Linked DNA regions of Arabidopsis thaliana. The protein of the gene in region 2 interacts with the protein of the main gene of each other region in a pairwise test. Each region holds a gene or a part of one and is shown on either strand. Other genes may lie near its edges.

Evidence for each region.
Region 1: the proteins of AT1G69170 (region 2) and bZIP58 interact in a two-hybrid assay, tested with the Arabidopsis thaliana proteins (one large-scale study listed by BioGRID).

What each region holds. Positions count from the first base shown.
Region 1 is NC_003070.9:4,650,097-4,653,176, reverse strand, and holds bZIP58 (basic leucine-zipper 58), read left to right. Parts: upstream 1-1,627; 5' UTR 1,628-1,799; coding exon 1,800-2,390; 3' UTR 2,391-2,571; downstream 2,572-3,080.
Region 2 is NC_003070.9:26,003,228-26,007,888, reverse strand, and holds AT1G69170 (Squamosa promoter-binding protein-like (SBP domain) transcription factor family protein), read right to left. Parts: upstream 2,822-4,661; 5' UTR 2,609-2,821; intron 2,440-2,608; 5' UTR 2,264-2,439; coding exon 1,755-2,263; intron 1,652-1,754; coding exon 1,515-1,651; intron 1,420-1,514; coding exon 848-1,419; 3' UTR 521-847; downstream 1-520. Other genes in the region: CRC (Plant-specific transcription factor YABBY family protein), read left to right, coding at 1-49, 129-155. UniProt on the Arabidopsis thaliana protein: Trans-acting factor that binds specifically to the consensus nucleotide sequence 5'-TNCGTACAA-3'.

The DNA of each region.
Region 1 (3,080 bases), about 21 Mb from region 2:
TTATGATTACTTTATATATTATTATTGTATGATTAGTGTCTTGAATTGTGTAACAGCCCATGATCTGACCGGACTAACTCGATGACTCCACACCAAAAACTTTTCTAGTTCGTTTTTCGATCTGCATTTGAAAACAATGTAGTATAGGAAGGCATGGACGATGATTTTATTTAAACTTGTTGTATGTTAATTATTAAAAACCACTTTATCTATACAATTATAGAGCGAGAGAGACATGGATTTAGGCGTCTCTTGTTATCTACAATTAAAACTTATCTCATGTCGTTTGATTTATTAATTAAGATCAATAGTGGGAAAACACCTAATTAATTAGTTTTTAAATGGACTTGATTAATGATTACTAGTTCATTTAGGAAACAAATAGGCATTGAAAAGGTATGGAGTAGTTATAGTCTTGTGGATTAGAGCCATATCACTCAATTAACACTCATCGGTCAAGTCTACACAGATCATACTTAATTATGAATGAAAAAAATGTAATTATTGACATTTCTCAGTCATATTTTTTTTTTCGATTTTATGTTTTTTTTTACTACTGGAGATATCACATGGTAGATGCAATGCTTGAAATTAATCTATATTTCAACTTAGTCGCCAATCATAAAAATTAAGACTTCTTGAATTAGAGCAGCAAGTGGAAACCCCACCTTGTTTTCGTTCCTTGAAATTTTCACAAACAATATAATTTTCCATGCCCAATAATTTTTTTTCCAGAAAAAGTGTTTGTTCTTGGTGAAGTGAATTAAGTACGTAAGGAATTACGGCAATATTTGTCTTGTATGATGCATATATTTATTGGCTATGATTAATTAACGGTTACTCACAAACACAAAAGAAAGAAAAAAGAGAGAGATATGATTACTACAGTGGTTTATACAGTAATTTATCTAATACGCGAAAAATATTTATGGTTGGTGATATGACATAAGACAATCATAGCTATTATGCATATTAGCATTATATATTTCAATAGTACTGTTAATTGTGGAGGCAATAGCTATTTCTAGTTAAAAATTGGATTTAAAATGTGTTATACGAAGTTTTCTATATAAATAAATAGCGTTTTATTTTTATTTTATTTAGCCATTTAAATTTATATATGTCATGCAATTGGTAGAGATATATATATATATATATATATATATAAATTTAATACTATTCCATCTGGTAAAGAAGTTTTTGTAATTTGATTATTCATCTCAAGTGACAAAAAGAAGGCAGCCACAAAAAATGCTAGAAAGTTATTGAAACGTGAGCGAACTTTTTCAACTCATATGCAACAAATAAAGTATAAGTTGGCTGAATTTTGGAGACATCTCATAAAACCATCAATCCACCAATCCACCCAAATAAAGTTAGTCCACCTAAACAATATTAACTTTGTGGTTCTACAAAAAAAAACAAAAGAAAAAATAAAATAATCTTAGAAACAATATATTTGTCGTATATATAATCAAGTAGATTATTTTTTTATACCATCATTAATTAATTATATTTATTTATACGAAATCGAGTATTACAAATCATCGTATTAGAACTTTCTGAATGAACTAATCTTTATGTATCTAATATTTTTACTAAAATAATGAATTATATTCAACACCATTTTCTACATAACTTTGCCTCCCTCCTCTATAAAACCCTTAGCCCTCTCTTCCTCTTACTTCAAAACCACTTCACACAACACACAGAACCCTCCCTCTCTAGCTCTAAAAACATCCCACAAACTATCTTTCAACAACACAAGACATATCACGAAACAAATCAAAGCAAAGATCATGAACACGATTCCAGCCGAACTCACTGGATACTTCCACTATCTACCACCAGATAAATATAATAACCAAACACCAATCATGGAGTCTGAGTACTTCAACATGCCCTCTTCTCCTACTTCTTGTTCCTCCTTCTACCACCTCAATGGTCTGATCAACAACAACAACTACTCTTCATCATCCAATGGTCAGGATCTAATGACGAGCAACAACTCAACTTCAGACGAAGATCACCAACAAAGTATGGTCATCGATGAGAGGAAACAAAGGAGAATGATCTCTAACAGGGAATCTGCTCGTAGGTCAAGAATGAGAAAGCAGAGACATCTCGATGAGCTTTGGTCTCAAGTGATAAGACTTCGCACTGATAACCACTGTCTTATGGATAAGCTGAACCGCGTATCTGAAAGCCATGAGCTTGCTTTAAAGGAGAACGCTAAGCTTAAAGAGGAAACTTCTGATCTCAGACAGCTGATCTCTGAGATAAAGTCACACAACGAAGACGACAACAGTTTTTTAAGAGAGCTCGAAGATTCGATATCAAACTCTAGATCGGATTCGAACCAAAGCGGCAGAGATTTTGAGTTGTGTTAATGATCTTGATCATTGTTCTGCTTATGTCAAGACTGTAGATTTCCTAAGGATCATACTATATTATATGATATAATATCATTAATAATGTTATTCTCTATCGAGAAAAAATATTGTTCTTCTATATCTTTTTTTCTTTTAGCCAACTTGAGTTAGTTAAGAATATTAGTGATGATCATGGACGTACGATAAATAGTATATTGTTCTCAATTTAAAGCCTTTTTCAAGCGATAAGTGTCCTAAAAATATGTATGAATCAAAAACCTACAAAACTCAAAATAACATTGAGTCAGTTCCAAAAAGATAAAAAAAAATTAGTTTCACGATCGATGTGAATTAATTCGCACTGGCAGAACAGGTGTTCCAGGTGACATCATTTTTAGTATTAATCAAGTCTGGTCGACATGAAATTTTAGATCAGTTACATGTAACTTTCAAGAGAATACTAAAGTAATGTTTTCGTTGTTTTATTTTATGTCCGTACTTCTCTTTATGTGTTTTTATAAGATTGCAAGAAAGTCTGCCTTAGTTACCAATAAATTTGTTTGTACCAATATGTTGCTGAAAGTTTTTATCAAAAAAAAAGTATATGTTGCTGAATTTCCAGGCGTCGAGTTTTTAATCATAAAATTCAAATGAATGATAAATTTCGATTATCAAAAATATTAAATGTATCGGTTCTTATGACGATAT
Region 2 (4,661 bases):
ACCCAACTCTCCTACTTCCATTACTTCCGGAGGCCACAACATGATCCATGTAAGCTATACAAACTAAGTCTGCATAAGGACATATTTATATACATTATATAAAGATTTAAAATGTTTTGTTCAATTAGGGCTTGGGATTCGGTGAGAAGAAGTGAACAAAACTCAGGGGAAAAGAAGCCTAAAAATAACAAACGCATGCACGTGTGCGAGTGGCTGCGTCGTTTTTCTCATCTTGTGTTGTTCTTCTGTGTAATTTTCTTATGTATGTCATGTTGCAGAAAATGATGTTGCCTTAGTTTTTATGACTTTATATTTCTGTCTGTCTTTAGATTTGAAAGTAACGTCACTTGCTATGTCCCTTTGGACGTTTATGTCTGGTCTTTATTTGTCTTAATCCTATCAAAATTTTATATGCGTATTCCTTAATTCCATCTGGGACACTTTTTCTTTTCCCCAATGATTTGCAACTTTCAACATCGTAACTTCGAACTCGAGAATCTCAGATCAGTCCTCAGATGACGTGAGTGTACAGAACAAAACAAAACAAAAGTAAAAATTCACTTTTTCAGCGAATATTCATTACATGTATATATACAAATTGTCTGTAACGCTGTGAAAAGGAAGTAGGCATAGATATCTGAAGCAATTTTCTTCAGAACATTATTGACTGGTGAATAATAACACAACAGTTACAAATTACAATAATACGTGTAACATGATCTGATCCTCTTAATTCCTCTATCTAATCACAAACTAATCAAGCCATGCAGGCTTGTCTTGTCCTTCTGCAGAACAATCTCAAGAAACTCGAACCGGTTTAAAGGAATAAGAATGTTGTAACCTTTTATTAGGAGCCAGGGAAATAAAGCTCATTATATTCCTGCTTCACATCACCAGTGTAATTCCTCTGTTGCTCGATTCTTTGAAGATGTGATGACAGTTGCAGTAGATCAACCGTGGATGTTCCTTTTCCTTTACAAGAACTAGAACCAGCAGAATTGGTCTTGCCAGGATCGATCCACAACGGTTGTTCCATCTGATGATAGTCAGTTGATGATGAGTGATTGAGATTTTGGTTGGGTTGGGTGATTGAGAACGTTGTGTTTGGAAACTTAGACAAGTGTTGTTGGGACTGAGCTGACAGAAGAGAGAGAGCACGAGTAGAGCGTGATGCCGCCGTCTCATGTAAGTCCCAAATGGAGGATACTTCCGTGGAATAAATTGCTGGTTTAGATTCATAAGTTCTGCTGCTGTTTTGCTCATTAGTAGGAAACATGGAACAAGTAGGTTCATCTTTGAAACTCACGAGTCTACTTGTACGGTGGTCGTCTTCATCTATTACTCTGTATAAGAGACTACCAGGAAATGACTCTGGCAATACCAATGATGAATTCTCCAGAAACTTGTTGCCTACTACATCTATGGAAGATCATAAAATACAGAATAGATTCAAATTTGCACGAGTTTGCTAATTCAATACATCAATGGATAGGGAAAAGGCAGAGAGTGAGTACCTTGAGAGGTGCGAAGAAGCTTATGGCGCTTACCCGGTAGGAAATAGAATGCAGGTTTCCTTCTTCGTTCATTGTGACCGGCTAATCGCCTTCTGCAACTTCTTTTGCCATCATCAAACTCTGAGAGGAAATGAAACCTGAACAGAAGAAAAAGGTAAAAGAAACAAACGATCAAGATCCATCAAGAACATTGAAATGACTACAGAGCATGAGACAACTTGAGAGGAGAAAGAATAAAACCTGCTGCACTGTTGACAAAACCTCTGTTCAAGACCATTAACTATGACCACAGAAGTTTTCGAATGAGCCTCGCAAACTCTATGCCTTTTGTGGTAATCTTTCGAAGAGCTCAGATCCTTACTACACCCATAAACTTGACACAAGGGATTCTGAGAGCACAAGTTTGAAGCTCGAGACTTTTTAGATGGCAGAGCAAAACCTCTAGAGGATGTATCATCATCATCATTTCCTAAATCCAAAAAGCTCCTAAGTTTGAAATCTATCCTATTCAATTCCTGACTAGAGAACTTTGAAGAAGAAGATATGTTCTCCTCATCTTCCTCTTCAGGAACAACTTTAGTAATAGAAACAGCACTGAATCCATTGGAGTTACCAGCCATGTCAGAAATCAACACATCATCATTATTAGAGAGTCTCTGTTCAAATCTTCTATTCTTAGCAAAAGTATCACAAGGTAAAAGAGTTTCATTTGACATGAAAACGCTTCTCCCGTAGCTCCAAGAATCCATCAGCAACACTATAATCAATTTCTGCTTTCTTCAACGACAACTAGCAATTCAATAACTGATGCAGAAACCCTAAAGGAGGAAGCTTTCTTCTAAATAGAGAAAACCCAAGACGACGATTCACTTATTCCTTCGATTAACACAAAACCCAGATAGAAATTGACGAAAAGATTCAAACCCTAACAAGAAACAAAGATAAAAATCAATACTTTATCAAGAAAGCAATCACACAACATGATCATCAGTGGAACAAATAAATTAAGACGAAATTTTCGAGTTTCTTATCTTCCATCTAATGCAATTGAGGTGAACGAAATCATAAACAGAGGATCGAAGAATAAGACTTACCGATTAGAGGAACAGAGAAGAACTGTGTATAGGAAGCAAGCAAAAGAGACAGAGAGGTGGAGAAAATATAAGAAAAGTGAAAAATGGGGAATCGAAGGAATAAGGTGAGAGGTGACGTCGAAGCAGATACTGTTTGGGGTCAACATGATTTCCACTAAACCCATCTTCTTCTCCACTTCTCTCTCTCTTTTGCTTCTTTTTTTTTTTTCTTTTTCTATTCTTCATCCTGTAAATTTTATTTGTGTTTGTTTTCCGACACTATTTTGTTCGATCAAGTAAAAGTAAAAAAACAAAAAAAAAAAGTAGAAGTAAAAAAGTTTCTATAGAAATCGAATTTAAGAATGGAGAAGTTGACGTCATGCCTCCTATTTTTTACCATCAAAATTAGTGATAAAACTAATTTTAGGTTTATTTAGTTTAGTGTTATTGCTATGTTAAAACTAACCTAATAAACTTTGTACACATTTTTTTTTTTGATGATGCTTTCGGAACAGCACCTAAACAAAATCTTGGTTGAGTCACAAATAACATACAAATAATACGGTGGCAATGTGGCATGTATTCACACTGTAGACGAACAGCCAAAATTATGTGTTCACACTATCTCGAACAAATGTTAAATGATGATATAAATATGTTGACGACAATCAAAACCAATGAAGAATTTAGAATTCACAATGAACATCGTCCAAAGCGAAAGTTTATAATTTTGGGTTATATTCTAGATTATATTCTAACAAACACGTTTTGGTTAATTATTTTGTTTGTTGGCGGCTTTGAAATGGTAAAGATTAAGAAAAAAAAGAAATACACAACATGGGGAAGCGTATTTTATATAGCAATTTGAAAACATTTGTTTAAGGGCTTAATCTTCTTAAATAAATCGGTTTCAATAAGAATATATATCCAAATTAAAGCATAAGTTAGAAGAAGAATGTATGGGGGGGTTTCCTCAAAAGAAAAAGAAACTTTGGGGTTGCAAAAAGAATAAATAAAATATTAGAGAATCAGCGAGTTGAAGAGATTGGTGGTGGAGCGTGTGTAGACAAAGCCTTCTGACGCTACCCAAACCTTTTGCTTTATTACAAAATCAACCCTTTTCTTTTTTCTTTTTGGTGGGAGCCAGAGCATATCTTGTTGGCCAACCAACCGCACTTTTCAGGTGATGGAATCTAAAGCTAAGTCCTAATTACTTAACACTTGTTTGCTATTAATACTTCTTCTGTAAAATTATAACTTTTTAAGTTTATATAGTTAGATCGGTTCTCATATATTACTATGTAGAAGTTGTAAGTATATTCGATCGTACATTATGTGTGTATCTGAATCTGATCATAGACTTAAAAGTTAAAAAATTAAAACAAACGGATATGTGAAAAAGAGTTGTTTGTTGGTTCCAATTTTGCAAAGCCAGGTCCATCAATTTACGTAGCATAGCAAAGACGTATTTCAAGCCCATTAATTACGGCCCAGCGGGGTCTCTTCCATTTTCACGAAAACTCTCAAAAGATTTCAAACATACTATTCCATGAATCATGATGTAACAGTTACTGTGCAGAGTGCAGACAATGGAGTGTGCACCAAAAAGATTGGCCATGATTTCTATCATTGTATTTGAGAACGATAGAAAGTTCAGGTTCTAACTTTACATTTTAGATCGAAGACCAGAGTTTGTTTTTTATTCAAATTAGACATAAGAAAAGGAAAAAAACTGAACCAAATATTTTGTGATCCAAACAAAATTTCCTTTAACCACATGGAATTTTCTTTAACCACATGACTAATAATACCGAAACGCAATTGAATTTAGTATAATCGGTCCAAATCGAATAATAAATAAAAATTTGTTGAAATTACATGTGTGACAACATATATGACGTTAGTTATTATCTCACCTAACAAAACTCCAAACATACTATTTTAAGTGTCTTTATTTGTAAGATTAATTTTACTTTGCATAATTACCTCAACTTTATGATAATCACATGTTTGGACCCTCCACCCATTAGATGATAGGAGAAAGCAATGTATTACTTATTCATTTCATTATTTT